Styela clava: one gene and its partners. The protein of the gene in region 1 purifies or fractionates together with the protein of each later gene. This does not show direct contact. Links are inferred from orthologs where the notes say so. Each region holds a gene or a part of one and is shown on either strand. Other genes may lie near its edges.

Region 1 (10,746 bases):
ACATTTTCTATTTGCTTGTAGCCATGTATTTCCAGATTCAGTCTTCGATCATATTGCTCAAGCTCATTCTGTTTTGAATTTTGTTTTTTGCTCTCTTCTTTCAGTTTGTTTATAGGCTATATCTCTGAAGACCAGCAATCATTTTGTTTTATTCTTCTACCTTTGCCTCCAAATCATTAACTGCATTATTGGTCTCAGTTTGTTCATTCCTCACGAAGGTTTGGTTATCTTTCAAGTCACTAATGTCTGATTTGATATTTTTGTATGCCACACTTATTTTTTCAACCCTATCATTCAGCATATTTTGTTTTTCAATGAGTGAGCTTATTGCCTTACTGTTCTCATCAGCATTTTTTTCAATTTTCGAATTCTGTTCAGCAAATTGATTTTTTATCATTCTTCTATTTCTTCTTTCATAATTGTTATGATCTTTGTTTGTTATAGTGCCCCAGAGCTATCTTGATTGCCAGCATCAATATGCATGGGATGGTCACTGAGGGTATCATGCAAAATACCGGCACTAAAAGTGGTGTCACTGCTTTGAAATACATCATCTTTATCAGTAGGCCTATGTTTTTTTTTCCATATTGAAATCAATAATCCGATCAGTTCAGTATATCACTTTTCATTCGAACCAGAAGTAAACAAATTTATGGTCTTAATCAAATAGCGAATGACATGTAGGCCTACCGGTACATAGCCAATACCGACGATATATGGCCATATTGATCACAGTATCATCACGAGTACCGGTACAAACCAAACTATGCCAAAATGTCCTACTGGCTGACTGGTATAGCGGTAATTTTTATTCATTTATTTATTTGACACAGTTCGACTTTTTTTTGTTATTATTTCCTTGTTAGACTTGCTTATGGGTGCCGCTGCTCGATAACCAAATTTGGTTTCTCGCGGCTCCCCTCACCCTGAAATGCCTTTTATTTATTTATTGCAATTTGTATATAAAGTGTGCATTTAGTATGGTGAGAAAATAAACTACTGATTACTGATTATTATATTTTTGTTTACTACTGGTATGTGTTTATCTTACGCTTGTCGCGTTTTTCTTACTTTATAATATCTCTGTCGGTGTATGTGGGTGCGTGTGTGTGTGGATGAGTCTAATATTTTTTGGTGAATGAGCACGCACCGTAGAATACCACTTATTTTTGGCAAAACCTTCCATCTTATTCTGTAGGCTACGTTTTAAACCTTTTCTAAGGTTTTGTTTGCTCCCCCGATTTCATAGTCAGTTTTTATTTTCTTGTTTTTATCAATCATTATATTGTCTGTTATGCTGATTATGGAGTCGAAATATACTTATACTTAAGTCCACAAGTATTTGTATATTATTGTTTTTAAAGAACTCCCAAAGCGACTGAAAATCAAACCGTGTTACCCGTTTAGGGCTACCAACCGTCCCAGAATTTAACGACAACAAAGGCTTTCTAAAATAGGAGACCATTGTAAGTGTGCCGGCTACAAAACTGGAAACGGGTGTAATTCACGCAAATATATTTTTCCATAAAAACGATTACATCTGTATGGTTCATTCAAATGGGAGTGAGTTAAAATTTGTGGATAAGACATGTTTTGTCAACTTTGACCTCCTGATGAAATAACACTAAAATAGGCTATTTTGAGAGGATCAAACACTCAATCTGGTGAGATTTGTTAAAAAATTTAATGTTTAATTTGCTAAAATTTAATTTAGCCGTCTGTTTTAGGACACCTTGCTGACAGCTCTTGTCTTAGCGAGAGTTCATTATTATTATATTTCCGTAAGGATTACAAATTTTAACATAAACTTTGTGAAAACCAAAGTGACTAACTAACAAAAATCTTCTTAACCCCGGGGGGCCCTGACAATGATAGAGTTGAAGGAAAAATCTGATATTTGGGATTCGTAGTCCATTTGACCATGTTGAACAAAAATTTATCCCATTTTGACCTTTGACCTCATTTAACCCCACTTTGAAAATGTGGCATATGTGTTACAACGGAACTTACACTGTATACAAGTGTGAAAAATTTAGTCGAAACAAGTTGAAGTCTCACATTTTTATTCCAACATTGAACGAACGAACTCAAAGAGCAATATCGGCGAATCATTTGCGCATAAAGCAAGCATGAAATAAAAACTGCAGAAACGATTCCCTGAGAATATAACTAATTGTTCCAATTCCTCAGGCGTGGAAAGTCAAAAACAATTGCGGCCCTCGACAAAACAAAGTTTCACTTTACACTTTGAACAGCTGGTATTTGTTTGATTGCGTTCACACAATTTGCATCTTCCCCTTTTCTCAATTTTCATTGGCCAGTGTGCGTATTTGTCTCGTCGGATATCTTCACATGGGGCCTTGGATATTTTCCTTGCGGGGCTGCGAATTTCTTCAACTTCAGACGAGGGTCTCCCGCGACGGGTGTCATTATTGACATAGATCAAAGCGCTTGCGACTGCTGCTTGAAAATGTCGCCGTTTCATAATATATGACGTTGGAAGATGGAGCAGGGCACAATCACGACGGTACCAGATCTATGCATTCACAATAGCCACCATTATAAAATGTCAAAAGAGATAAAGATACCATCTTTTTGATTTCATTCGAAACCTGTACTTTGCAAGAAATGAATCCAAATTATCAATACCTCCCATAAACTTATTGTATTCTTGCACGATAGCAGGCATGGCTATGTGCACATGCTGTTTCGTTCGTCTGTCCCATCGTCTGATGTTGCATCGGGCCTATCGAATTGTTTCTTTCTCCACCGAAACTGATTGCCGTCGGTTGCATTATTTATTTGGCTTTTGTTTTTGATTTTGCACTCGTAGACTCGTCAAGGGAACATCGTCGTCAGAACTTTCGGACTCAACCTGTAAAATGAAATATCACGAAATGCAAACAAAGAAAAACGTTATTTATTGTTTCGATCAATGAGTGAGAAAGTTATTTTTCAGAAAATATTTTCGGTGTCTGTTGATCGTAAGCAGTTGTGTAATGCTTCTTTAGGAAAAAAAACTACAATATTATGAAAATATTATGAACCTGGGAGCCGTTGTTTTTGTCTTCTCTGATATCGTATTCACTATCTGATCCACTACTAGTGCCTCCACATCATTGTCGTCACAGTTCAAAATGACAAGAATATCATTAGCATTGTACACTCTTGCAATTTCAGTTCACCGCGAGCTGCTTGACCCAATCGATGCCATGTTCTAGAAAAAAGTATAGATACGGTTAGTGACCTGACCAAGCAAGAAAAAGGGCAGTTTAAGGCTATAATGTGAATGCGTGCAATTATTGTGTCACCGGTGTCACATGCAGATTCGGCGCGGCGGTGTGGCTCAACGGGCTAAGCGTTAGGAATACGCTCGCCACCGCACCTCTAATTACTCTGCGTGGGTTCGAATCCCATGCAGGGATGGTTATGAGCGAGAGGATTGCTGGACTCCTCGCCGTCGTTGGGTGGTTCACGTAACCGCTGGTCGGTTACGGCTTCCTCCACCACCAAGTCCATGCTTCCGTAAAACAATATAACTAATCCCATACCCGAATTGGAATGGTAACCGGACGAGAGGCCGTGGTTCGCCATATGAATAAGCCGTCTTATCGGCTTTCTTCTCCCCCGGGATAAATATGTAAAATCCTATCCGATTCTATTTACTCCAATTGTATAACTAGTCCCGATGTGACAACTGTGATGCATCAAATGTAGACCATCGTATGTCGGGTCAGTATTCACTCTAGATTCTCATCGTATGTCGGGTCAGTATTCACTCTAGATTCTCAATTCATACAACATAGTAATCTATATCAAAGTAACTAAGAAGCCAACTCACCATTTATTCACTCTAGATTCTCATCGTATGTCGGGTCAGTATTCACTCTAGATTCTCAATTCATACAACATAGTAATCTATATCAAAGTAACTAAGAAGCCAACTCACCATTTATTTGACACCAATCGGTGTTCTTCATTTATGACCGATGTTTCCAGGCTTCTCAGGATCTTGTCGAAAATACCACACACCATGATAAACAATCTTCTGGAGCGCCACCTAACCGGCCGATCGGTGCACAAAAGCTGTGCTATTGAGTAACATTTGGCCCTAGTATTGAGGTGTATATATACAGATTTTTTTGCATTTATGCGTTTGAGGTGTATATATACACCTCAATGGACCTTTCCCCGACCTTTGACCCCCGGAAAATTCTTCCTATACTTCACCATTGCAAAATTTTCGGGGCTATTTCAAGAGTGCTTTTGCGAGTTGGCGCCTGTGAAATGGGTTATGTGTTTCAAACCATCATTATGATTCATAGCATACAACAATCTGTTTTTTTTTAAAAGTACCGTTAAAGAATTTTAGCCTAGTCTATCACAGCTATTTCTACACTAATTTTTATTACTGCTATTAAATTAAAACTCCTAGGAAGACAGGGTGACCATTGAATTATCTGATTTACATTTAAGTTTCCAAAACACAACTGAAAACTAACGAATAGAGTTCAAAAATGCGAAAACGAGGTAATGTTTACGACCACGCTTGAAAATCTGTCTGAGTGAGAAAAGTGTCTGAGCGGATGCGGAAGGGGGGCATTGTTACGTCGCTTTTTGCAATTTGCTGATTGGCCAATGTCACGAAGTAAACAAGGAAGTCGATGCTCGGGGAAAGGTCCATGGGCCTTAGGGGTCGAAACATTTTATTTCTACAGGTTCCAAAAGATCGTGCAGCAGGGGTGTTACGTGGGTTCCCTAGGGTTGAAGCGGCAAAATCACAATAAAAATACGAGTTTAAATACCAGAAAGACTGGATTTTGTTGTGATTTTTGTTAAATAATTAATCTGCTTAGCACAAATTGTACAACTCCCCTTTTTAGATTTTTTTGCATTTATGCGTCAAAGAGTCAACATTTCACATATGATAAAATTATTTACAGTTTGTGAAAATAAGCTGCACGGCACGCAGCGCGTACCGTACTGTTGCTCTTTACGTGCTTCGTGTTTCACAAGCTTCTGTTGCATTAAGTATTAGTACCGGTATTCAATTAAGGTTGCATCAATTTTCAAATTCTAGAATCTAGACATTCCGGTTCAACATAAAGTTGGCAACCCTATACCGATACGGTACCTTACGGTCCATAAAGTCCGTGGGTTGAGACAGGCAAACAAATTATCCAGTTACCGTATCTACCGATATGCAGATACACAGATACCGTATGGCAACAACTTTTATGAAATCACATTTCCATTCATTCAAGTTGCGTTTTATACCGGTACCGGTAGATGTAACCGGATACATAATACCGTGCATGTTTTTATTATGTTGAACAAGGCCTTTTACGTATTAATTCAACGTATTAATTTGTTGGCAGTTGATTTCTTTTTGCCTGTTTTCAGGCCTTCTGGCCTTGGAATGTCACATTGCAGCATTGCTGTATTGGGACACTTTTAAAATGAATCAGGTGAATTTCATATTATTCTATTAAATACAGGACATTTAATCATATTTAGGATTGGTTGATCATGAAACGAATAAAAAATCTAATTGATCAAGTTGGTATTTCTTCTCCTGGTGCAAAACAGAAAGATGATGAAATTCATCCTCATACGGTAGAAAGAACAACTGTACTTCCCTCAAGAATTTTAAGCAATCCAACATTTCAAGCAGAAACCATTCAATCCATTGATGATGCTGTATTTAATCCAGACACGGATGGCAATATTATTGACGTCAAGAGACTCCCAGACCATCCTACACAAGAGTTGATTCATGAAATGTGTGAAAAGCTGCACAATCAATTGAGTGCAGTTTCTAAAAAACTTTCAGATGTTATTCTTGAAAATCAGCCTGCTTATCGGAAAGAACTACAGCGAGTACGGGATTTACAGAAAGATCTTCAAATAGGATTTTCTACTTGCTGTGCCGGCAAAAAACACTTGCTATCTGTCACAAGTTTTGTTAATTTGAGACTTCTTGTTCATGTTCAACATAGAAAAAATTTAATAGCTTTGCATGATGCATTGAACACAATAAAAACTCTGGAACATACAGATGTTAGGCTGAGAGAGCTGATGGAAGAAGAGAACTACCCAGAAGCAATACAGCTGTGTTTAGAATGCCAGAAGGTTGCTGTCGCCTATGGACAATATAATTGCATTAAAGACTTATCTTCTAAATTACAAGATACAATTGAACAAATTGAAGAACAAATAGATGTTGCCCTTTCGAAAATGTGCAACCATTTTGATTCTGAAATGTATGAAAAACTTCAAGTTGGTTACAAGCTTCTTGGTAAAAGGCAAACAGCCGTTGACCAATTGCTTATGCATTTCACTACTTGCATACATAATATTGCATTTCAAACTCTTCTTGGTTATGTACAACTATGTACAAAGGAACCAGATGCTAATCTTCAAAAGAAACAATTCAATGATCTTTGTTCCATTGTTGATTCATCGTTTTATATACCATGTTTGCTTGCATTATGTAAAGCATTGTGGACTATAATGTATTGTTATCATAAAGTCTCACTTTGGCATAGTGAGGAATTTTCGGAATTTGATGATACTAAGATTTCTGATGAAGAGATTGATAATAAGTATATTACACGTAAGCTTGAGCATGGACGTCATAGAATATGGTTGGATGTCCAATCCAGAATAAAAAGTCTACTTCTTGGTATTGATCTGTCCAGTTTTAAATATGATGAATTTATAAAAGTTGTTGGAATTGTCAATAAATTCATATTGGTCGGTGCAACTTTTTGTGGAAGTGGTGACAACCCTGAGAAAGACAATTTTGGTTCAACCTTACATGAACCAATATACCAACAAAGTTTGCGTTACTTCCGAGCTTATCATAAAAAGTCGTTAGAGGAAATGCACATGTTTCTTGACAATGAAGCTTGGGAAGCTTGCCCAATACAAAAGAACTTTTCTGTGATGCAATTGCCAGAGTTCAAGTTCTTGCATGAGGCAAACTACAAAGATATCATAAAGTCCTCAGGAACGAAACATTCAGAAAAATCTAGCAAAAATATGTTTTTTAATTATAATGATAATAAAAGACATCCATTTGAAGAATTTGCTGGAAAATCAGATGACAAAACAAATGTTAATGGCAAAACACATTCTCATAGCATAGATGACAATGAAATGGATGATGAACTATTATTTGATTATATTGAGGAAGATGTTGATGATGACGATGTCATCAGTCACAAAGAAAACAAAGTAGTTGGACCGCTTTTAACTAACACTGCTCTTAATACCTTAAGAACTTGTGGCAAATATCTTAGAATGTGTGATGTTCTCAAGCCGATTGCCACTGATGTTATAATATGCATGTCACACTTATTCGATTACTACCTAATCTCTATTTATGATGTGTTTGCCGCTCATGAACCTGGCATACCTGGATGCAGCAAAAAACTATATACCACTTTGAGTCGAATAAAGAGTGAATTAATTAGAAAAGAATTTGATGCAGAAGAAAAAAATACAACCACAAAAGTACCCCTTCCATCTCTTTCTCCTATTGTGAATCTCAAGCAGAGGTCAACAATGTTTGGTCTCCCTCATAGAATAACAGCTACAGAATCACTTATGAACTTAGCTGCTCAATTTCAATATTTACAACCTACTTTAAGAAAAGTCATACCATCAAGTCAAGAAGCATTTCTTCAACAATTTTATGCCCAGACTGTAAGTACTTGCGCCGAAGTGCGATCACTGGTTTATTTTACTGTTGGGGCCGGATCAATTGATTATAATTCTATTTTGAGTGGAATGGCCGAAGTTAAATGGGATCTAAAAGAAATAATGTCACAACATAGCAAATATGTTGATGCCTTGTTACATCATTTCAAATTATTGAAGTCTGGATTCACCTCAGCTGCGAATGACATGCCATTTCCGGATGAAATAGAAAAGATAATTTGGCAACATTGCATTGGTATGTCGGGCAAAACTTTTGTTGAGGGTTTCTCTAATGTTAAGAAGTGCAGCAATGAAGGACGAGCATTGATGCAATTGGACTTCCAGCAGTTTCTACTTAAAGCTGAAGAAATCACAGGAGTTCGACCTGCACCAGGTAAAGAGTTTGTCGAAAATTATATCAAGGCATATTATCTTACTGCTAAAGATTTAGACGAATGGATGAAAGATCATTCGGAATATTCAGAAAAACAGTTATCCGCATTAACCAGCTGTAGTGCATCATCTACAGTTGGGAATGCTAACAGAAAAAATAAGCAAAGAATGCGTGCAATGATTGATGATCTCACAAAAAGAAAATGATTATTTACACCAGATTTTTTGAGAATGTGGACGATGAAAATATGACAGCAAGTGCTGTTGGCATGTTGTGCTCGGAAAAAGAAACAATTCAACTGAATGGATCAAAATTGAAAACTAAACTACTTCTGTTAATACAGTTATGTGTAGAAAGGAGTCTATTTAATAGTTTGCTGAGTTTGTCCCAATGAAAAGGGAGATGACTTAACCAGATGGCAAACCACAGTTTTTCGCCCTGTTGCTAGTGGATACAGGAATAGTTGACAAGTTACTCTTTCATGTGTATGGTCTTGATATTAGATGAAGGTGTTCTGACCGGTGGCCTCATGAACCCTATGAGATTTATGGACCCAGCATATATCTTACACATGATTGTTCCCCATGATGGTATACCAAGGATTTCATTTGTTGTTATTTAGTATCGCTAGTGCCCGGGATTCGAACTCTCATAGTGTAAGTTGGCAAGCATGATTATAGAGCTTAGCCCTATCTGTCAACAATGAAGGGTATTTTGCAATATATCTACTATACTACTACCTTCACATGTCTTAATTATCTATTAGCATTGCACTGTCACAAGGTATTTTTCATCAAGCTGTTTCAAAATGGGTCAATAGTTTTATGTTAATTTCGTTCAATGTTTCAAAATATGTGTAATGCTATTATTTTATTATATTATTATATAATATATTATCCTATTTAGCATCAACTGTGAATCAATATTAATTTTCAAATTTTATCATCTAAGGAATGGATAAACTGAAAAAATAGACCTGAAAATATTACGACCCAGGTTTTTCACGTTCAGGTACAAGAATGATAGGCGATATTGAACTAGTGTTGGGAAATAACGTAGCCCAATGTCTCAGATGAATGGATGTGTGTGGCGGACGAAGCATCAATCAACAAGCTTGAGTGCTTGTGACCACAGTTCAGCGATCCTTTTAAGTCACATCAATATCGGTTATCTGATTTGAGAATGTTTTAAATCGATTGTGGCATTTGATTGTTTGGGTTCTTGCACTTAAAAGTGACTGCGCATGATCTTGCTTAGAGTGAATTTCTATGTAATATGTCCTCTTTTAAAGTATGGTTTTAAGCTGTAATATTTTTTATTCCTTCATCAGCCAGAAAACAGTAATCTTGACGAGATCCACGATTTTCAAAAGAGGCGGGGTTTTAAAAATAGGCAATTCCTAAACACATGGAACAATTCGCGAACAGTCACCACGATTATGCCACTCGTTAAAAGAGAATTTTTCAGCTGATAATTAATTTTCTGATGCGCCAAATAATTAATTCACGACTGATACGAGGAAAAGTGGAGTCCCGGTCCCGACAGTAATTTAGGAATGGTTAAGATTAAGAAGGTGCATCGCGCGCAGAATTAAATGTTTCTTCTTCAGTGACTAAGGTACATTTCGCAATTTACCATGTCCAACATACCCATTTTTTTTTTATCTATCGCCGGGCTACTAAAACCAATTCATGGCGATTTTTGTTTTATTTTTAGTATATTGTAACGTCGTTTTTTCAGTCTCAGTATTCACTCCCTTATTTTCAGGCTGATTCACTCCTTCAATTGCCTTTAGCGACCTGCCGTCGAATTTCAGGAAAAGTTTCCCATTCTAAGAAAAATGGCAATGTATTTTGCGCAGGTAATAGGGATAACCTATATTGTGATTCTTTCTATTCAAAATTGAAAATGGTCGAATTGGAGCTGGCCCAATAACGAAAATGTAACTAATCAATTGCCTTGTACGCTATCAAGAAAAGAAAAAAAAACAGTCAATATTAAAAAGTTGGTAAATGACAGGGTTCGCACTAGCTGGAGAAATTAACTTCTATGCTGTTTTTATCTTATTACTGCTCGAACCACTCATCATTCTACTCATTCGTCATATTTCACAAAAGTAGTATATGCCGTAATTCCTGGTTTGTGATATATATATATGTTATTTAATGTGCGGTTTAAGGTCGCGGCAAGAATAAAATAGTTTGCGGCCTCATGGCTGCATTTGAGTACACGGCTCCACTTGGAGTCCTGATTATATATATTTGTAATTGAACGTGGGAATACATTAGGCTAGGCCGCTATACAGGGTATCGGTAGTTACATGCATATCACCAAGATACTTGCTGGGAAAGAAGCTCCCCTCGCCGGCTTCATACTGCATACAAATTTTATTTTTCAATTGGTTCAATATGATCGATGACAGGATACAGTTGCGTGTTAGAGTTCCAGCAGGATCATCATGCTAATACGTTTTCGAGTAATGGGGTAACTCGTATTTTTGTAGTTCCCACTAAGGCAATAATTTTACAACTTGATTGTAGCGTTGATAAGCTTTACAAGGAACTATTATTATGCTTTAGGTCAGTATGGTCTTGTGCATGCATCCCGTTTCTGACATTATTGACTGTCAGCTTGAACATGACATGGAA
Region 2 (10,417 bases), on another chromosome or scaffold:
TGAGAATAAAAAACAATGTAAATGAATATAAATAGCGATTTGATGACCGGCCTCATATATTATTGTAATGTATGGGGTGCCCTCCCCCCTAAAAAAAACTAGATTACAATCGGAGACCGCCGACTTATCGATGCATGTTCTCTCCGCTCTGACTCAATAGCGACACCGCGTGTCTCATCACCAATTAATTGATACCTCGCTAATTATACGACATAATTCATCCAAAATCAATAGGCTTCTGGTCCGAGTGTGATGAGTGCACATGCACAATTTGGGGCAGATTCAATCTCGCTTTCGTGAGATACGTGTGACCAATGACATTAAACAACATGATAGGCAACTCTGACGTCACTCCATAAGACTACAGGCAAAACATTGTATTTCATGATACGCTCCAATGCACATATTTCTCGTCGCCTTTCGCGTCCGTTTTCCGCTCGCTTTTGCTACTCGGCGTCTTTTTTACGTGTAGTACCTGCCTTTTTGCGCCTGTAACGAAACAAAATAATCTCTATATCTAAGAAGTTTTGCTTCCTTGGAAAGTTGGAATAACAGGCAAGCTGTAAAGAGCAATTCTGGACATCATAGACGTTTTTTTCTATCAGAGAAGATTACAAACGCGATAGCGGAAAGATTTGTGTGGAACATTTTGCAGATAATGACAAAGTTCAAAGTTAGTAATTTTAATGTTTGCGCTTAATCATTGAAATTTCATTTAAAGAGGGTGTCATACAAAACTGTGCTGCGATACAATTCCATAACACAAAGTTTGCACCTATCGAACTTGCTTTCGTAGGTGAATTTATTAGACATATTACATATTCAGTTAATCGTAGGTAACATTGCTGGTACATAATGCATCGTAGATAGGTTTGTTTAAATTTAAGAATTTAGCTCATAGCCCACTAATTAATATTATCTTCTATGCAGGAGGTTGCAGGGCTGAATTCAACTTGCAGCCTTACCGATCACCTGACGATGCTCATTTAGTTTGGCTCGAGCAAGTCTTCTTGAAATGCTTGTGTGGATAGAAACTACCTATATTTTTTGACTTCCTCCGATTTTAGACAAATTTATTCTGAGGGATTTCGCATATAATTCTCACTGATTGTTGGCTGTTTATAATTCCTATTGATTGTGAATTCTGATTATAACAATGAGTTGAAAATTTTTTTACCTAATTTACTGGCACCTTTTTCTTGTCAATACTCCAAGCTGAGGTAATAAACATGACAATACATTTATGTCATCTGGAAGCAAAATATGCTCACTAATTAATAGTTTGGCACATTGAGATAATACATCATGACAGAAAATACAAGTTAAAGATATGTATGACCATCACATGGTAATTAAAATTTAAAAAAATTAATAGGGGCTGTGGAGTATGGAAAGTTCAAGACAAAGAAAAGAACAAATGTTCATAGTTCATGAACTCTCAATTTTGCCTCCATTGCTTTGTGAAGGCCAATATATTTCGAGTGGCTGAATTGGTTTACCTTTATGATAGCAACGATTTTGTATTTAATATAGCGAGATTATTTCAATTTAATTGAAGTGATATAATTTCCCAAAGCAATGCTTGAATCGTCTAGAATAGATCAGTGGTGTCAAACTCATGGGTTTTCGAGAGCCGCATTGCATTTTGAAAATTGTAAAAAGAGCCGCAAACAGTTTTTGATAATGTATACTTAAAAGATATTTTTAAGATAGTTTTAGTTTGTGACATATATTGTGATGCAACTAAACAGTTGGATTAAGTTTTATTATTTTCTTCAATTTCAAATGCAATTACATATTAATATTTGCATTCCACTATTATTGCAACATTTGCAAGTTACAGTATTTATTATAAAAAATCGTAAAATTCTATGTACAACCATCAAAATCATTTTTGAACAAGCTTTGAATAAGGAAAGAATAATACATACACTAAAAATAACTTATCTAAATATATGAACCTAAAATTAACAAAAATACTACAGTATAAACTCAATGTTTTAATAATTACATTTGTCCTGGCGTTTGGCATTTTTTTGTGTCACCAGCATACTAAGGCCAGTCTGAAATGATTTTATAGTACCAACTCTAACTAACGAGGCCACATGATCATGGGTTTATCTGAATCTTTACGAATGTTTAATTAATTCCAGTAATGCAAAAAAGTTACTTTTATCATTTCATGTATAGATCAGTAAAAAAACAAATGACAGATTTTTTCGACAAGACATTTCGCACTACATTGCGTGGCATAGGATTGCTTGAATTATTATTGATATTGATTTTTAGTAACTAAGTCGTTGTATAATTATATTAATATACAAACACATGGAAATTTTCTGTTCGAAGTTGGTCTTCGAATTTGTCATATTGACTGCTGAGCTTATTGTGTTTTTTGATTGTATTGATGGAAATATGACAAATTAAACAATGTGCTTCAGAATTTTGTGAAGAGCAGAAATGTTACAACTCCCATTTTCTTCGAAAATGCCACCTTCTTCATGTACTTTGCGTTTAATTTAATTACTCAAGTGTTTTATTCAAGTATTCTTTTGCTAGCTTGATGTGTATTCTTAATTGGGTCAAAATGTGGACAAAAAAAATCAATATTTCAAAACTACTTTCAGTAAATTGTTTTCTGTGTGAATAATCAATTTCACTTTAGAAGGTTTGAAAAATCTATTACATTTAGATAAAAATAAAAACTTCCAAAATACTATTACAATTACTGTTAAGCGTTCGAGGGCCGCACTGGAAGTTCTCTGGGACCGCGAGTTTGAGATCCCTGGTATAGATTGAAGTTGTTCAAAAAATATATGATAGTATTTTATCATGAATGATGATTATACCCCTTCCGGAATTTCTTCTATAGTACTACCAAAAGTTGATGAACCAAATATAACACAGGTGCAGTGAGGTACCCGTAATCCTCATTTCCAAAGCTGTTTTAAGTATGTCTGGCGTGTTTTGTGCCTTTTTACAAATAAGACCGCTTATGCAATCTTACGCTTTGGAATTTTTAGTTATTTTCCTCAAGCCCTGCAGGATGTGGGGGCCATACACAACTCTACCGGAGGGTCAAATGTCTTTGCATGCCTCCATAGGTTGTTTTTCTATTGCAATTTTCTATTTTCAATTGCATTATATTTCTCGGAATCACACTGTCACTGATATGTCGCCAGACTTCTGATATCTCCCCGTCTGCTATAGTTGTCCTGTGAATAAATAATAGGAAATTGAGATTGGACGAATAGTTGAAAGTTTTGCTTTATGTCGGCTTAATTTCTTGATTGATATACTTGCTATTTCTGCTATTGGCTCTTGTGCTGCAAGATTCTCGCAATGCTTAGACAGGTTTGTCCACAACTTTCACATCTGAAGAAAGAGAGGAGATTTATTAATTTTCGTTAAGAATAAATAAAGCAGTCTATATGATTCAGAATGGAAAAGCTAATAAATCCAATATCTCATGTTTTATTTAAAAAATATTTTACTGAATTTGGTATATAATCAATCAATCAATCATCATTTATTCGTCAACACAATTTAAACATGGTATGATATATAAAAAAATAATTACAAATATAAGTGGAAACTAACTTAAATTGTGTGACAGGAGTCGCGAGGGACCTCAAGAGGTCTTCAGGCAGCGACACCTAAAACGCTTGTTGATTCAGGTTAATAGCTTAAAAAGTTAATGAAACACCAAAACATTTCAAAATAAATATTTTGAAGAAAAAAAGAACATTTTCAAAAAACAAAAAATACCAAATATCCATCATAAGTATTTAAAATAAAAAAAAACCTAACATCCTGGTTACGAGCATGTTTTTTTATTATTTAAATCAGTGACCAAATTCATAAAAGATGAAATGCACCGTAGAATTAAACGGTTGCACGAAAAGACATAAAATATGTTATATATCGATGTGGAGTAAAAAAAAAATATAACGATTAACTATAATTCCCTTTAGACTGAATCTTTCAGTATCCCCTGACATGATGCACGCAAGGTCTTTAACCAAAATTTGGTTTTCAAAAATTACGACTCCACGCACATCTGATTCGTTCGCAAACCAACTAATAAAAGGGCTTAGTCAGAAAATTACAAGCATTCGTGGCTCCAAATACTTGAGAAATCAGACTATACAATATAGACCGGTATGAGTGAAATGTTAGGTGAACTTGTTAACACTTTGATTCAATACGCAAATAAAAGTGAATGCGTAATAGTATGTTACAATGAGCAGCAATCAACAATGAGTATATATCCTCACTGATTAAAAAAATCTAACTGGAGGTGCATGAACTATTTGAAACCATAAGGGGTAAGTAAATATGTAATTTCGGCAAATGGGCAACTACGTACCGTACTGAATTAATAACTTCGTAGTATTTGACAAAGGCTGGCTTTCCCACATGTACTTAACAGTGCGATGCCCGGGTGTGATATACAACAATAGTATTCACCTTACCTTTTACCGATTTCTTTTTACCCCAACTTTCAAAAATATCATTAAAATCGACAACAACTGTCAAAGCAGGCACGAACACCATTCGTGCTACGCCTTGAAAGCAGCACACATCCGCTCGTTTTCGTCTCGTCAAGTATGTGCATTGGAGCGTGCTATCGAATACGATCTTCGGACAAAAATGCCGGAGTTGCGCATCATGTTGTTTAATGTCATTGGTGTGACATAAGAAATTGTCCAACAGTCACCCAAACAGGCAAATACCTATCACCATACTTACCGACTGAGATCGTTTACGTAAAGCATAAGTTTATTTCGACTCCATAATCAGCAATAGGCGATAATAATAGATAAAAATAAAAGTAACTGATTATATAATCGGGAAAGCGAACAAAACCTCGAGTAAGGTTTGAAACGTACAGATTTTAGATGGAAAGGTATTGATAAAAAAAGTAGTACGTGTTCGCTCACTCAAAAGTAAAAAAAAACTAATTAGGGCACGCACGCACACACACACACACACACATACACACAACCATCGAGACATGATACTGTCGGAAGATAAAAAAAAAGCGAGACTCAAAATCAATTAAATTACTCAGTAAAAGGAAAATATACAAACAAATGAGAAAAAAAAATGAATAAATTCTTTTGCCACACCAAATTAATATTTTTATGAGGATTGCCAAATTGGATACCGAATTAGAATGTACTGTGGATAGAAAAGTATTCCTCCAAAAATATCGTCAAGCTGATTATAATTGGAGTCACCTAATGCCAAATTGCCCAATCAGAATTGCCAAGTTGGCTTTCTATCTAAAAACGGAACCCAGTCTATTTAGGACATATTGCATGAGTTCAATTGCATTTTGGCTCATCCTGTACGTATATGTATTACCCAGTCAGCTTCATAATCCTTGAGTTTCTGTGCAGTCAGAGTTGTATTTTCAAATCCATTAAATCTGGAGTCTAAATTCGAATTTGTTGCAATCAGAATTTTAGACTTTCAGTGATGGTAAAAAAAACTCAAAACCGTCTACAAAACTCACAACCCGGACTCAAGAGTCAATTTTTTTAATCCGTAATCGGAGTCACATTTTTTTTTATCTCGTGGGCGAAAAGTGATTATAGTCACTGTGGGTGTGGGTGGGAGTTGATTGCAAAAATTATCCGACTCCACAACTAGATAAAAGATCTCGTCAAATATTTTTTGACCGCATGTGGGCGATAAAGATCATTTTTTAACTTCTGGTTTTGCTGCTCAAAGTCATACACGCTTTTCTGCTGAAAATGACATTTTGTGCTCAATTGGGAGCTTGTTTGCGGCGTATTTTCGGGCTATTGAGTAGTGTTTCGTTATGAGCCAAGAAAAGACCAAAACAACAATTTATAACAACGTTGATATCCACCCTTGTATGCAGGAACAAGAGTTGTCAATATCGTGTATGTCCAATAATAATTACGATCGAGAAACATACAGAGAAAAGTGTGTCGAGTATTTCAGAAATTATAGGGATTGCAAAAGATTTTGGGGATCTGTAAAACTAAAACGAGCTGGGCAAGGTATAAAGCCGCATATGCCCCCTGCAGACGAAAGACAAAATATTGTGGATTACCTTGGAGAAAACTTGCCTTACCAGCTTGCTTCTAAATTCAACACTTCACATTAAAGTAAGACTTCCTTTTTTATCATTTAAAGTTATTGAAATTCAGTAATCAGCAGTTAATTTTCACACCATACTGAAGGCACACTCCATATCAAAATTCTGAAATTGCAATGAATAATGAAAAAGCATAAGACAGTAAGAAAGTATAACAAGAAAATAATAATATAATTGCCTATACGTTGAGCAAAGCACACTTTTCATATTCTAGCATTTAGTTACCAACCTGTGCAAGTATATTAGTTATTACTAATCATACAACTTAGAGATCTTGGGTCTAATGTAGTTTCGTACCTGACATACTTCTAGTGGGCGTAGCATGACAATTTGGGTCTCATGTAGTTTCGTACCTAACATACTTCCAGTGGGCGCAGCATAACAATTTTTCACGTATCAATCATAACCCCCACCTGACTACAGTGACGTAATAGAGCCCTTCAAACTATACGAACTGCCATTTAAGACGCGCAAACGAGCACCTGAAATTGAACAGCTATTTCTCTCCTTTTCTCACCGAAACGATCCCAATGTAAGAGATATTTGGCAATCTCGATGACGCGATTGTGATGCCGTAGTGATGCAATTTTTGGATGGCGTAGTCAGTCTGGGGTTAGGATTGATAGGTGAAAAATTGTTATGCTACGCCCACTAAAAGTAAGTTAGGTACGAAATACCAAGTGCTATAATTATCATTAAACCAAGAAAAAGGTGGAAAGGAGCAGAACGGAGTTCTTTGTGTTTCATGTATTTTTTGGGTTCCCCGCTGCTTTCGCACTGTTTATAGTAAATATTGGTTCAAGAGAGGCAGAAAAATAGGTTCTACCGAAATGAATGTCACAATTCCACAACTACTCAAATAACAGCAAACTTAAATATGATGGAAAAATAAATGTCATAACTTCTTAAATAATGCCGAACAAAAACGAGATGTGAAAATACAGCAAATTTTAATTTTTCAAATAAAAATCTGTCTTGCTCAGATTGCTACCCCATTTGGCATTTTTCAAAAAAAAAAAAATTCCAGTTTACATTTTTGTTTAGCATTATTTCAGTATTCACGATGTTTACATCTTCGGACCAGGAAAAATGTGCATGTAGTCTGGTAGTAGATATAAACTCGTTTATCTAAATTTATTATAGAGAGCAATGGATTTAGATGAAGCTCCAATAATTCACGGACTTGAGCTTCCGTCAAGATGTATTTGCGCACAATCAGCAGACACAAATATCACTCGATTTATGGTGGCAACTCAGTCGTTACGACAAGAAAATCAACTCCATTACGTGGAATTCGATGATGAGAACAATGTCATTGATAAAACCATGTTTTCTCACCCAATTGGTGAAGTATGGCATCTGTCAGCAAGTTTCAACAATCCAGATGTTTTCACAAGCTGTTATCAAGCATTTGAAAATGGAAAATTAATCCATGGATGTATGGTAGGGAAACTACCATTAGATGAGAATCAAAAGCCAATAGTTAATTCAGCCACTACGCAAGACATTACACAAAGTCAACAAGGAACACTAGAAAATCTGGCGACCCTAGATTCAGAGGAGTTTGGAAATATATCTAGTTCGCATTGGAAACCAATAGAAGGGGAAAACTTCCTAATGGCTCTTGCTGGCAGCAAAATGCTTCTCTATGATATGGAGCAAGGCACACCAAAGCTTTCTGACTCGTTCGAGCTTCCAACTAGAAAAGGGCATCCTTGCACTATAACAAGCGGCAGGTGAGTAGTTTTGATCATTACGGATGGGACTTTATTATTTACATGGGGTGATAGAAAACCGACAAGACATTTGGAGAACCACGGCCTCATCTCTGGTCAGTATGTTCCTCAGATTTTTTATTTAGGGTAGGAGGGGAGGGGGGTAAATACTGTTTGTATCTGTTATGTATTTGAACCGGCATATGAGCCACTTTCTGAATATTCAAATACATTTTTATTTAACTTAAGAATTAAAGTATGGTGTCATACCTGTAAATTAGGGGAGGAGTTTGAAAGTTTAGGGGAGATGTAGGGAAATCACTGTGTCTGGTTATCAGTTAATGCCAGGTATGGGAATCATTGTCAAAGAACTAGTTCCAGATGCATGGACATAATGGTGGAGGAAGGTGTTACCGACCAGAGGTTACTTGAACCACCCTATGACAGTAAGCAGTCTAGCAATTCTCTTGCATATAATTATCCCACGCAGGATTTTAAACTGTGAACCTAGGTAATGAGAAGTGAGATTGCAAAGCGTGTTGGAAAACCCAAAAATTGTTATTATTATTAGTGAAAAAGTTGAAAAGTAGTGTCTTTGAGAAATCTAAAACATAACTCATTAGCTTTCACTGGGCACACTACTTTCAAACTTTTTCACTAATCCTGGGGGCTCTTCTTTTACACCAAATTAGGGTATTCCAAAAACGTTGATTGTAGATGTTCCTCTAATTGATTTCAGATACATTTTGTGTTTGGCCCTAATTATGCAAAAAAGATGCTTTTTGATCTAATGATAGTTTGCAGCCATATTCACCAAAGTATTTCAATATAAAGTTAGAGAAGTTTCAAGATCAGAAATATCTCATTTCCCCAGAACAATTTTTTTAGATTGAGCCATTAAATGCTCAGCGGTGTGGCGCATGACTCCTTCCCGCCGCGGGGTGGTTCATGTAGGCCATGGTGTGCCATGTGATTGAGCTCCTTATCAGCTTTCTTCTCCCCCAGGATAAATATGTAAAATTCAATCCCAAATCCAATCCTAATGTGCTTCAATCACTACACTAAAAACGATGCAGAAAAATAACTGATATAAATATCTATCTCTCTTTCAAGATGGAACCCACATCATGGTGGCAAGCAATTTGCAGCGGCCACTGAGCAAAATGTTGTCGGTTGGGACATTCGATCCAAATCTCAAGCTTTCATCATAGAAGGGGCTCATGGACAACTTGTACGAGATGTCGACTTCAATCCGAATAAGATGTATTACGTCGTAACTTGTGGAGATGATTGTCAGGTCAAGTTCTGGGACACAAGGTGGGGCTAATAAGTTATATTTTTTTATATTGTGGGGGGGGGTGGGTGATAGGAAAACACGAAAAATATATCTCAGAATTTAATTATGTGTCGTCATTTTGAGCACCGGTCTCCTGTTATAGAGATGTTCCCGTTTGATTCATGTCGATATGTTTCGATGTCTGGGAACAACACCACAAGCTCTAGATGCAGTAACAATGGTGTGTTCTAAACCACCTTATCCAAAGTAAATGAGTAATCTGTATTAATGACGATCACTTTAAAGACCTTAAGCTCTGTGTTTGCTATATCCTAACACAGAGGTTCCCAAAAAGTGTGCCGCAAAAATTAAATGATTAAATATTTTACATTTTGTATTTATTATAAATGTTATATTGTTGACCTTTTGCCTTTATTGTTCATACACACAAAATTGAGTTTTATTCAAAAAGCAGCAATTTTTTCGTGTAGGTGCTCCATAAGTTTTCCCCTGATACTCTGGCTTTGGCACCTCATGAACGCAAAGTTTGGGAATGGTTGCCATAACAATAGAAAATCAAAAATCTGTTCTCTTTTTCAGAGATCTTTCTGATCCGGTTAAAGTTCTCTCTGATGATCATTCACACTGGGTCTGGTCGACAAGGTACAATCCATTCCATGACCAACTGGTGCTCAGTGGTGGGAGTGACAGCCGGGTTATATTGTATAATATGAAGTAAGTGGACTTTATTTTCCAAGTAGTGTTTTGCAGCTTATTTTTCAAGTTGTGATGAATAAAACTCTGGGCAAGCAGCCCAATATGTATGGGCTAGTACAGTGCTTTCCACCCTTTTTCAGTTTTACTGTTGCTATTTTTTCTGTGCAACCCACAATGAGATGTTAATATATGAGAAAAGAAACAATGTATCCCCATGCAATTTAGTATCAATGCAAAACTAGATCTGCATATTGTAAATCAAGTCTTATAATGACGGTAATTCTAATTGTTACATTGTTTTCTATTTGTTACGTGATGATAGTGCCACAATTTCCCTATCTAATTAAAAACTATATGTACCATTTGGAAATACATCCTGTCCTTGTTCGCATAGTTAACAAAACAAAAACATTAACAAAAATGGACTGACCTCATTCAGGCTTATAATTAATTAGCCACTTAGTCACACCTTGAATTAGGTTATGTGCCTGGGATTTTTAACCGAGATGTGTAACCTTACCATTTTTATTCACTAGGATTCTGCACCCAGAAAACATAGTAAATTTTCAATAGTAT
Region 3 (10,991 bases), on another chromosome or scaffold:
CTATTTGCATGCATCCTAATTCAAAAACACTCTAGAATTGCGAATAATTCACAAGATAATTGCCCGCACTTCTTTTTTACTAATCTTGAATGTGAAATATATACTCAATTCTGCTATTCAAAAACATGGCGTCTTTAAAACCAAATATGATTGATACAAACATTCGTAATATTTTATCACGCAGTGTATATTTTCCAATCCCATAATAATAATATGTTACAGATCATCACATGGGTACCAGTTATATTCTTGAAGAGGAAAAGAAAGTTCGGCCAAACGCTACCATTGACATTTACGCTCATGAATTGACGAAAATACTAATGTTTGAATTTTGTAAGTGTATCTCTTTGACAAAAATCATTAAACAAGTAAAGAAACTCTCAGGTACTCCGTAGGCTACTCGGTACTTCATGCTCGTATCTCCACAAAGGCTGTAGACTGGGCTCAACACTTGTGACAAAGTTTTACTACAAGTGACCAAGTATTGCCCTGGCGATGATGAAATAAACTATAAAAATTAGTGGTAAAAAATAATGAACACAAAAGAGTCAGACACCTTTGTTTGAAACAGAAAATATTTCCACAATTTACTCGAAGCCTCATTGTAATTTTATTTAAAATTTCAGCTGACACATATGACATCGGTATCACACGTGGATTACGGCAACTGGGATCGATAGTGCCTAAAATTCCTAATGCTCGTACCGGTGCTGGACTTGGACCAGAATTACTTGTTGGCGTAGATACAAATCTTATCATTACCGCACCGACAAAAACCTATTCAAATCGAGCTTCCTATAACGTAGCAGGTGAATCACAATTTTACGTCTTTTTCTAACTTATTGAAACAAGTACGTGAATTTCTATGATAATTAAATCTATTACGGCTCAATAAGTAACCAATAACAATTGATCTCAGGTATTGAATTTGAACTTATCCATACACCCGGAGAGACGAAAGATCAGACTACAGTTTGGATACCGAAAATTGGAGCTGTTCTCCCCGGTGATAACATCTACAAAACTTTTCCTAATATCTATGCTATACGTGGAAGTCCTACTCGCGATGCAAAGATTTGGTATACCAGTTTGGATAAAACAAGGGCGCTCGGTGGAAAGTATCTTATCGGCTCTCATACCAGACCTGTGGAGGGAAAGGAAGAAGTCTACGATACATTGTTGATCTACAGAGATGCTATTAAATACATCCACGACCAAACCTTAAGGCTGATAAACAAAGGGTATTTTCCAGATCAAATTGTCGAGAAAGTACAACTTCCAGAAATGGTTAGAAAACATCCAAATTTACAGGAACATTACGGTTCTGTACCATGGTCTATAAGAGGAGTCTTTGCCAGCTACTTAGGATGGTTTAGCGGGAATCCTATTGATTTGCATCCTATGCCGGCGTCCGATCACGCATCCAGAATGGCGCGTTTGGTATCTTACGCCCAGACTCGAAAGGAATCACCTGGAGAAATCATGCTTCAAGAAGCACAGATATCTCACCAAATTTCTCACAACCATTATACCGCTACAGGAAAACATATTCCAAGTGATGACAAATGGGCACTAGAACTAGCAGACGCTGTCATAGAACTCAATACATTGGACAAGAAGATGACGGATGTTGCGAAAACGATCAAGGTCAGTGCGCTCAGAGCAATAGGTGTTGAACAAATCACGGCGACAGGAAGAAACTATTACCTTACATATGCTCTGGAGGTAGAGAATAACCTATCACTCGTGCGTTCGAAGGAAGCACTTGAAATGGGTATCAAAGATTCTTCCGTCAGCCGAGTTCTCGAAATACTTTGCTCTAAAGTTCGAGGTCTCGAATGTCAGTATCAAAACTACACAATAGGACTTTCATTCACAGATATACAGAAAGACTACGTAGTCAGCCTGCGTAACAGCGTATGTGATGTATTCGAACCACCACCAGAAAGTATCGTCCCCCAAGTTCAACTTTCCACCAAATCGAATGTGTACAAAGGGATTGTTGCAGAAGATCTGCAACTAGATAAAGAAATCGAATTAGGAAATGTGAAAATTGACTATGGAACTATCGATACTTACAAGGAGTTTCTGGAATGTTTTGATCCATTAAATTCCGTTTAACTAAATATGACATATTATATACCTATAGTTGCCAGTTTAATTTTTTGACCCCACGCTTCCAAACGAAAATTCATAACGAATTATTGTTTTATTTTTGTCATTTACTGTGTTACCTTAATGATCAAATAACCCTAACCATTCAAACAATATCTTATCAAATTTTAGATTAGTCTTTTCTTCTACCTACAGCGATTTTGAGTATCGAGATTTAATAATAGTCTTGTTATATAAATATAAATGTCCAATGTTGCTGTATCAAACGGGTACAAAAGCGCCAATTGTACACCTGAAACCCCGAGAACCAGATTGGGGATTTCTCAGTTCCACAACATGTATTCAATATCTGTAAAATAACTATAACTGTAAGATTAGTTGCAAGGGAACAGTGATGTCCATCGTAATTCTAGCGAAATATTTGATCCCCGATTCTAGACGCCCATAGCAACAAATAGTTGCTACATAGACGTCAGTGAATATAGGCTGGAGATAGACATCAAGATTATACGTAAGAGTACATTATTTTAACAAGAATAAGTTCCTATAATAAAACTATTCCCATTTTGAAATTACGCTGGTGACTGGCAAAACAGTGAATGCATAAGAACCTGCATCAAACATAGTACATAGAACTTCCCTTTCTGAGAATTCATCTGAGAAGAGACTGTTAATTTGAGAACAGGCAAACAGAAGTCCTTTTTTGCGATCAACGAACATCTCTATATAACGAAACTAATTTCGAGCATAACATACTTCTTACTTGTTTAAATGATGATGGATGTTCAGGATAGTTGTACGAGCGCGGTCTTGCGTACTCCAATTTAGTGTCCCCAAATACACATAATAAACAAGAGAGCATTGCTCAAATATATGGAAAAAAGGGCCAACGCAAAATGCGATCGCGAAACCGCCACAAGGTATGCAATTTTTAATTTTGATGACGTCATCACACAAAACTTCAAAGTTAAAAGGAATCCCATAGAGCCCACAGAAATTTTTGAAATAAATAAAGTAGTAGCCTTCTAGCGACAACAATAATCTTTAACCACCGAAAATTTCAAAACAATGGACCTTTCCCCGAGCATCGACTTCCTTGTTTACTTCGTGACATTAGCCAATCAGCAAGATGCAAAAAGGGCGTAACAATGCACCCTTTTCGCATCCGCTCAGACACTTTTCTCACTCAGACAGATTTTCAAGCGTGGTCGTAAACATTACCTCGTTTTCGCGTTTTTGAACTCTATTCGTTAGTTTTTAGTTGTGTTTCGGAAACTTAAATATAAATCAGATAATTCAATGATCACTCTGTCTTCCTAGGAGTTTTAATTTAATTGCAGTAATAAAAAATTAGTGTAGAAATAGCTGTGATAGACTAGGCTAAAATTCTTCACCGGTACTTTTAAAATACAGATTGTTGTATGCGATGTTGATTGCAATGGTAAAGTATAGAAAGGATTTTTCGGGGGTCAGAGGTTGAGGAAAGGTTCATTGGTCCAGCAGGTAAATGGAAAGGGATTTTTTTACAACAGGTGAAGAAAAACACGGGGAAAAATAATAACAACAAGATGAAGAAGAAAAATACCACGAAAAAACTAAAAAAACTTCGACAAAACGATTTGTAGGTCCATTTCGTGTCCAATAACGTATTTGTAAGTCCGTAGGAAAATAACTGGCTATTTGAAATCGTTAAAATGGATGTCATGGCTTGTTAAATAGGAGTAGCTGGCATCGCGTAGTTCTTGGGGAATAGAAAGATTATTCGGAAAGGAACTGGTATTTTAAGAAATCGACATTTTACATGAGTGGGTAAATCAAAGCATATATATATGAGTCCGAGGCAACACTTGGACAATGGGTGCCATTTTGAATCAATTGTTTTCGGTCATGTATCACAGGCTCTCATGGGAATTTCGCACGCACTCATTGAAACATCCCAATATTTCACCAATTTATATATATATTTTACATTGAAGGATTAAGAAAATCGCGTTTTCAAGGAGGAATATTAGCCGAACACATTGATATCATAAAATGTTTGCCAAAGTACGTGTAGGCCTATAATGCATTTAATTGTCACTAAAGAGTTGCTGGATTGTATCCGAAGTAAGATTTGACCATTCTATGATGTCACAGATGGGAAATGATCTTTATCCGGAGAAACCTCATTTCGATGGCCGTTTCCTTATTCAAGTCGACAGCTTTTGACTGTCAATCGTCAACCAAAAACGTACAACTATTGAGTCCAAAGATGTGCTTGACCAGTAATTCTTAAAGTGGGCGATATCGAGGGGAGTGGCAAAGGGATAAAACAGGTAGCCTACCATCTCCTCTGGGGTGACAAGTTGACAATCAGCTTAATAGGAAGCAAAGCTCTATTTGACACGAAAACGAACTACTTGATCCGTCAAAAGTACTTTCCAGTCTTCTTGAACACTGCTGAAAGTTATAAGTACAAGTGAATACCTTAACCTAATGTTTTCAAAATGTTCGGCGACTCACTGCAATCATTTTCCAGCAGTGACAAATGTTTGCAGTTTTTCGTATAATAATTTTCTGCTTCTTCTCACAATAATTTAAAATGCCATTTTTCATTTTCAAGCTTTGCAGACATTTGCTGGTTCTACCTGACTGGCGTAGCTTCCGTACTCTTTCTCCTGGTATTGCCCCATTTAATAATACAATAATTACGGAAGATTTGTAGAATCAAAACCTTTAAATTACTCAAAATATTACATAGAGAATAACGTATTTTCCCGAAAATAAGACCTAGCCTGAATTTTAAAAATGACTTTAATATAATAATAAGCCCTCTCCTCAAAATAAGACCTGGTCGATAACGCAAAATTTTGACCTAGTCTTTAGCAAGAAATCTCTCCTACACGTTTAAAATGATTAATAAACTATGTTTTACAGTTAATTTGAATAAAACGTGTTATTTGTAAGTAAATGGATATCGGCGCTCATATTTTGTATGTTCGAAAATCTCGTAATTCTCTACTTTGTAATTTGGTTTTTAACAAGAGAGCTATGCTCAAATATATGGACACGTAGAGTCACATAATTTTGATGACGTCTTAGCGAAAAAAAAAGTAATAGCCTTCTAATAGCCTTTATCTTTAACCACTAAAAATTTCAAAGCAATTGGTCCAGTATTCGAAGAGAAAAGCGACTTTTAAAAACGTGTCAAGCGGTACTGAGTTAGCAGTCAGGCAGCATCTTACCTGTACACTGTAGGCCATATACGGTAATTGATCACAGAACAGTTGTTCCCTTGCAAATTTTATGTTGTTTACACTTTAGGACAGATAATTGATCACAGAACAATTCTTCCCTTTCAAATTTTATGTTGTTTCCAGTAGACTCTCATCAAAATAAACAAATATAGTAGGCTACAAGTGCTACAACGCTTGCATTACTGCACTGGTAGGACCGTGAAAGAATAAGTTACGGTAATTTCATTGTGGTAAGACACCGGTACCGGCACCAGTATCGTACTTACGTACTGAGCTACCAGTACCGGTTAGCAGTCAGCCAGCATCTTACCTGTACACTGTAGGCCATATACGGTAATTGATCACAGAACAGTTGTTCCCTTGCAAATTTTATGTTGTTTACACTTTAGGACAGATAATTGATCACAGAACAATTCTTCCCTTTCAAATTTTATGTTGTTTCCAGTAGACTCTCATCAAAATAAACAAATATAGTAGGCTACAAGTGCTACAACGCTTGCATTACTGCACTGGTAGGACCGTGAAAGAATAAGTTACGGTAATTTCATTGTGGTAAGACACTGGTACCGGCACCAGTACCAGTATCGTACTTACGTACTGAGCTACCAGTACCGGTACCGAACCTGCAGGTCTGATATTCCGTTCCGCATACGATAGGCTATAAAACTTGCATTGCAGCATTAGTAATACCGCGGAAGGAATAAGTCAATTTCACTGCGTTACGGTACCTGTGTGGCAACTTACCAGTACCGACCTACAGTAGCTGTACTACTGAGCAAGACAATCGATCGCGAAACCGCTTGAAATAGGTGTAAAACAGTGTTCCCATGAGTAAAAATAAATACCGCGAAATTTTGTATGAAATATCATATCTCATAGGATTCATATAAAATTTAAGAATAAACAAAAGTAATAGCCTTCTAGAGAAAAAATTAATCTTTAACCACTGAAAATTTCAAAGCAATTGGTCCAGTATTCGAAGAGAAAAGCGACTTTTTAAAAACGTGTCAAAGAACAAGAACAACAAGAACAACAACAACATAATATTGAAACGATCGTTATGTCCACTACGTGTCCAATAAATGAAAATATAAGATCGAAAATAAGCCCGTGTGTAGACTCAGAGTCAGGCCCAAATTGTTCGGGGTCAAAGATCAGCTAAATAAGCAGAGTAAATCGCGACACTGGAGTTGCTTGCCAGTCAAATCGGCTAATACCGGTAGTTTTTGTATTGTTTTTGTAATCGATTGGCTGAAAAATATATAGATAGTCAATAGATAAAGTTTAGCAATGGAGGAGACAGACGAAAATCGTCAGACGAGACATGCGCGTAAAAATGATATGCTCAAGATGTATTACAATGTCGATGGTCAAAATCAATCTTCAGTTTCCGATGGACATCTGGATATTGACAGCAACAATTTCAAACCTGAGGATTACCTTCGCAAATTAAAGCAGGTTGAATTTTTTGAAATGATTCAAATTTTACTAGTCAGCTAGCCCAATTCACATTTGACACTATTATGCAGTTATGTTCCTGTATTAAAATGGTAAATTCTTCATGTTCAAACGCGGAATGCTAAATTTTGATACCCATAATACTGTAATTGCTTACATTATAGAACTAGTAGCCTAGTTTTGTTTTTGCCCAGTACAGCAGTAATTGTAGATGTAGTTTTTCTAATTTTGATAAAACTTTAATTGAGGTTTTTATTGTAAGGAAAAAAATTTGGAGCAGCTGATGGATACTGAACATGACATGGCACGTCAGATACGAACATTGGACAGTGAAATGCAAGTATGTTCTGCATGTTTTTTAAACGGAGTTACGGTTTAAAAGTTTAAATACATGCATTATTATCCAATGATACATAAATATCCCCTGGCCTTTACCGTCCCTCCATATTGGTGCAAAAACCACAAAATGTAGCTGCACATTAAACTCAAACGAAGTGGAACTCGAAACTGTCTCGGCAATAAATTTTGTGGGTTAAAGTCTGATTAAACAAAGCAGATAATTAGGAAACTATTGTCGAGCGAATTTCGCTGGCGTCACAGTTGATTTATTAGTATCTCACAAAGATAGTGCCGCCGTATCCAGTGCTACCAAAACGACGCCCCTCGTTTCAGAGCTTGTTTATATATTGCTAAATCTGGTCAGTTTTTTTAAACATTGAAACATGTGTCATACTATATGAAATATGCTATTCAAGAAAATGTAGCAAAATTGAATATATTTGTTTTAACAGACGTTGGTGTATGAGAACTACAATAAGTTCATCAGTGCGACAGATACAATTCGTACAATGAAACGAGATTTTCATAAAATGGAGGATGAAATGGAGAAATTAACTGCAAATGTTTCATCAGTTGCAAAATTAAGTTCTGAAATTAACAGTACAATGCATGTAGGTTCTTGTTGCTTACCGTATCCTATTTCTTATCAACAGTATTTCAAATTTTTTTAAGGCATTTCTAATTCATCCAAAATTTATTAACATTTTTGTATCATTTTCTTCCTAATTTTAAGATCTTTTACGTCCTCAATTGCATTTGATAACTTATTTGTTGCCACCTAGGTATGCATCTCACTTGCTTTACAAGATAATTGCATACCCATTTTGGTATCTTTTTAATTCTCATATAAGTCTGTTCCTAACCCTAACTAAAGTCACTGAGATCTCACAACCTCCGATATCGCATACCAAAGTAGTATTGTTTTTTTACACCTCCGCTTAGAACTACTAAACCATTTTGTCTATATTTTGACACCAGCTAGCTGATCATGGATTTGAGCAGTTTCTGATGACCCTCTCATACTTTCCGTAATTTCACTTTAGGACAATCGACAGAAAATACTGAAGCTATCAGGAGTTCATTCACTACTTAAGAAGCTGCAGTTTCTGTTTGAATTACCATCCAGATTACAAAGGTGCCTTGACATGAAATCATATTCTGCTGCTGTGACATATTACACCAAAACACGATCTGTTCTTAGTCGTTACCAACACATGGAATCATTCAGTGGAATTCAACGTGACTGTACTGAAATTATGAATCAAGTTATCGAAAAATTAAAAGACACTTTCCATAATAAGGTATGCTTTTTCAGTAAGGGCTTCCAATTCCACATAGGTGCTATTCCATTATGTTTTATTATTATGATTGGGTTCTGTCCATTCATAGGGCGCATCCGTCTATAAGAGTGTTCCATTAAAAATACTCTACTTCATATTTTGTGCAGAATTCTACACCTCAGCAATTAGCTCAATGTGTTGGCTTATTATTACGATTAGGAGAACCACCAGCATCCTTATGTGATGATTATCTTCAACACACAAAACGAAAGTTACTGGAAGATTTAGAGGTTTGAATTTTATATATCATTTAATAATGTAAACGTATGTTTCACTCAAAACGATTAAGCGATAATGATATTCAGTTACAGTGATGTGATCAAAAACTGTTTTAGTTTAGAGCATGGATGGTGAACCGTTCTTGCTGAATATATTATATTTTTTAATGGAAATTTTTTCCGCAGATGGTATTGCAGATAGATTTTTGATCTTTACGTATCACAGATAATTTTCTGTACTCAATTTTGTGAAATTAATTTTTGTAAACATTGACCCCCTGAGTACAAAGATCTGGAAACTAGCATTAGCAATGCATCAATAAATAAATATTTTCATGCTTTTAAAATAGTTTGGGAGGGAATTCTACTTTTCATATACTGTTATGAAATTTTCTGCTTGGCTTCCAAGTTCCAACTACAATAAAGTTGCCAATATCCAACCCCATTTTTAATTCAGATTTCTGTGGACAGTTCTGAATCGCCACATGTAGATGAGTTTTCGAGTACGATTCGATCTATATTAGGCTATATATGGTCATGATTAATTAAGATATACAAGGATTTAACTCTAAAAATCTGATCTCAGCTTGACGTTTCGCACCGCCCTCTTGTATCGGACCTCCAGAAGTATGTGCACCAAGATGGCGCACAACCTGAACATAGTATGTGTACCAGGTTAGAATTCAGGTTGTGTGCCATCTTGGTGCACATACTTCTGGAGCGACCTCGTATTTACTATTCTTATGATTCATCAATATTCATTTTGAATTTTTCTCAGGAACTGGAATCATATCTATCATGCAACTTCCTTACATCTCCATCAATTACTAGAAGTTCAACAAAAACTACTATAGTCGCAGAAGATAGCAAAAGTATTGGAAATACCAATGAAGAAACAGATGAACATACTGATGATATAGTTGAACAAGAAAATACCAGGTAAAACTTTAAGCCTTCAAAATTAAATACCCTGTTGACATGTTTTTTGTAGCTCATGAATCCTTATTAGGTTTATAGGCATCTTCACGTTATTTGAGTCTTGAATATATACGGTATACTTTGATGAAATGAGTGTGGTAAAAGACTTAGCCTAACTGTCACAAGTATTTTATTAATGACTCCTGCCTGCTTTGCACCTTTATAAACATGGGCCAATTTGAAAATTCTGTATTTTTTGGATAATTATGCAGACTTAAATATCTGGATTTTGTAACATGCTCAAGCTTACACTGTTGTACGGTGGTATTGTTAGGTCCATGCTAACAACTTTCCAGTCATTTGTATCCTAGCCTATATTGAAAATATGGAGGAAATATTGTTCAAAAAAGATACCAATTAAGTTTTCTTATTGTCTTGGTTTAGGTTGTTGATCGACGTATTAGAATTCATTGATCGAGGCAGTAATGGATTTTTGAGCAATTTGTCGTTAACAATTGCTGCATATGAGAATCTATTTGTTAATCAAACAAAAAACATTCCTGAAACTTTATTTCAAGAAATCGCAGAAAGTTCAAGCATGAGCGAAATTCAGGTGACATTGTTATGGATATTTTCTTGCGGTATTTCTTTCACATCCTCAAATCTGTTTTCTGCAAACTTAAATCTTTCTTTTATGCAACTAGATATATGGGTGACATCAATTTTTATAAAATTCTGCTTTCTTTTTCATATAAGCCCTCATTTTCACTCTTTAAAATATCTTCTGACAATATTTTTTTTCGTCCTATATTTTGACTTAATTTTAGTTCTTGTGTTTAAATTTCGAGCATTTTAGAATTGAGCTTGGCATATTTGGTACTAGTTTATCCAACATTTGTCAAATTTTTGAATATTTTGATTTACATATTTAATTTAATATATATGTTCTTGCTTTTATTTTCCATGGATGACTCTTCATTAAATTTACACATTCACAATATCTTATGCTTTGAGTCTCGACTAAATCTTGTATTAAATGATGTTTTACTGACAGGAGGACATGTCAAGAGTTGCAAGTGACAAATTGACTGTCTTCGTGAATGAACAGTTGAAACACTATTTTACTCTCGTGGAAAAACGATTGGATTTTGAAAAAGAGAGCAGTGATAATGCTCTTTTGGTCAGAGCTTTGGATAGATTCTACCGCAGGTAAGTTTTCAATGCTTTTTTAGTTACTTTGATACTGTCTGGTGACTACCTTACTGTTAGGAATTTACAGTAACAATGGGCGGTGAACATATAATATATCAGAAAAAATGCTCAACTTTGTCTTTATTTTTGTAAGATTGCACATTACAAATCCAAAT

The links.
Region 2: the proteins of syndetin-like (region 1) and EARP-interacting protein homolog purify together in Homo sapiens (affinity purification with mass spectrometry; 4 studies listed by BioGRID and IntAct, counting the BioPlex papers as one, with this or other methods). This does not show direct contact. The link is inferred for Styela clava from reciprocal best matches to the Homo sapiens genes VPS50 and EIPR1.
Region 3: the proteins of syndetin-like (region 1) and vacuolar protein sorting-associated protein 51 homolog purify together in Homo sapiens (affinity purification with mass spectrometry; 7 studies listed by BioGRID and IntAct, counting the BioPlex papers as one, with this or other methods). This does not show direct contact. The link is inferred for Styela clava from reciprocal best matches to the Homo sapiens genes VPS50 and VPS51.

What each region holds. Positions count from the first base shown.
Region 1 is NC_135257.1:2,878,407-2,889,152, forward strand, and holds syndetin-like, read left to right. Parts: upstream 1-5,480; 5' UTR 5,481-5,529; coding exon 5,530-8,304; 3' UTR 8,305-9,010; downstream 9,011-10,746.
Region 2 is NC_135254.1:6,140,614-6,151,030, forward strand, and holds the start of EARP-interacting protein homolog, read left to right. Parts: upstream 1-6,003; 5' UTR 6,004-6,143; intron 6,144-7,276; 5' UTR 7,277-7,282; coding exon 7,283-7,869; intron 7,870-8,961; coding exon 8,962-9,165; intron 9,166-9,724; coding exon 9,725-9,859; intron 9,860-10,417. UniProt on the Homo sapiens protein: Acts as a component of endosomal retrieval machinery that is involved in protein transport from early endosomes to either recycling endosomes or the trans-Golgi network.
Region 3 is NC_135251.1:21,117,650-21,128,640, reverse strand, and holds the start of vacuolar protein sorting-associated protein 51 homolog, read left to right. Parts: upstream 1-6,505; 5' UTR 6,506-6,641; coding exon 6,642-6,809; intron 6,810-7,071; coding exon 7,072-7,149; intron 7,150-7,600; coding exon 7,601-7,759; intron 7,760-8,191; coding exon 8,192-8,449; intron 8,450-8,595; coding exon 8,596-8,718; intron 8,719-9,484; coding exon 9,485-9,645; intron 9,646-10,068; coding exon 10,069-10,237; intron 10,238-10,678; coding exon 10,679-10,833; intron 10,834-10,991. Other genes in the region: linear primary-alkylsulfatase-like, read left to right, coding at 223-333, 627-809, 920-2,121. UniProt on the Homo sapiens protein: Acts as a component of the GARP complex that is involved in retrograde transport from early and late endosomes to the trans-Golgi network (TGN).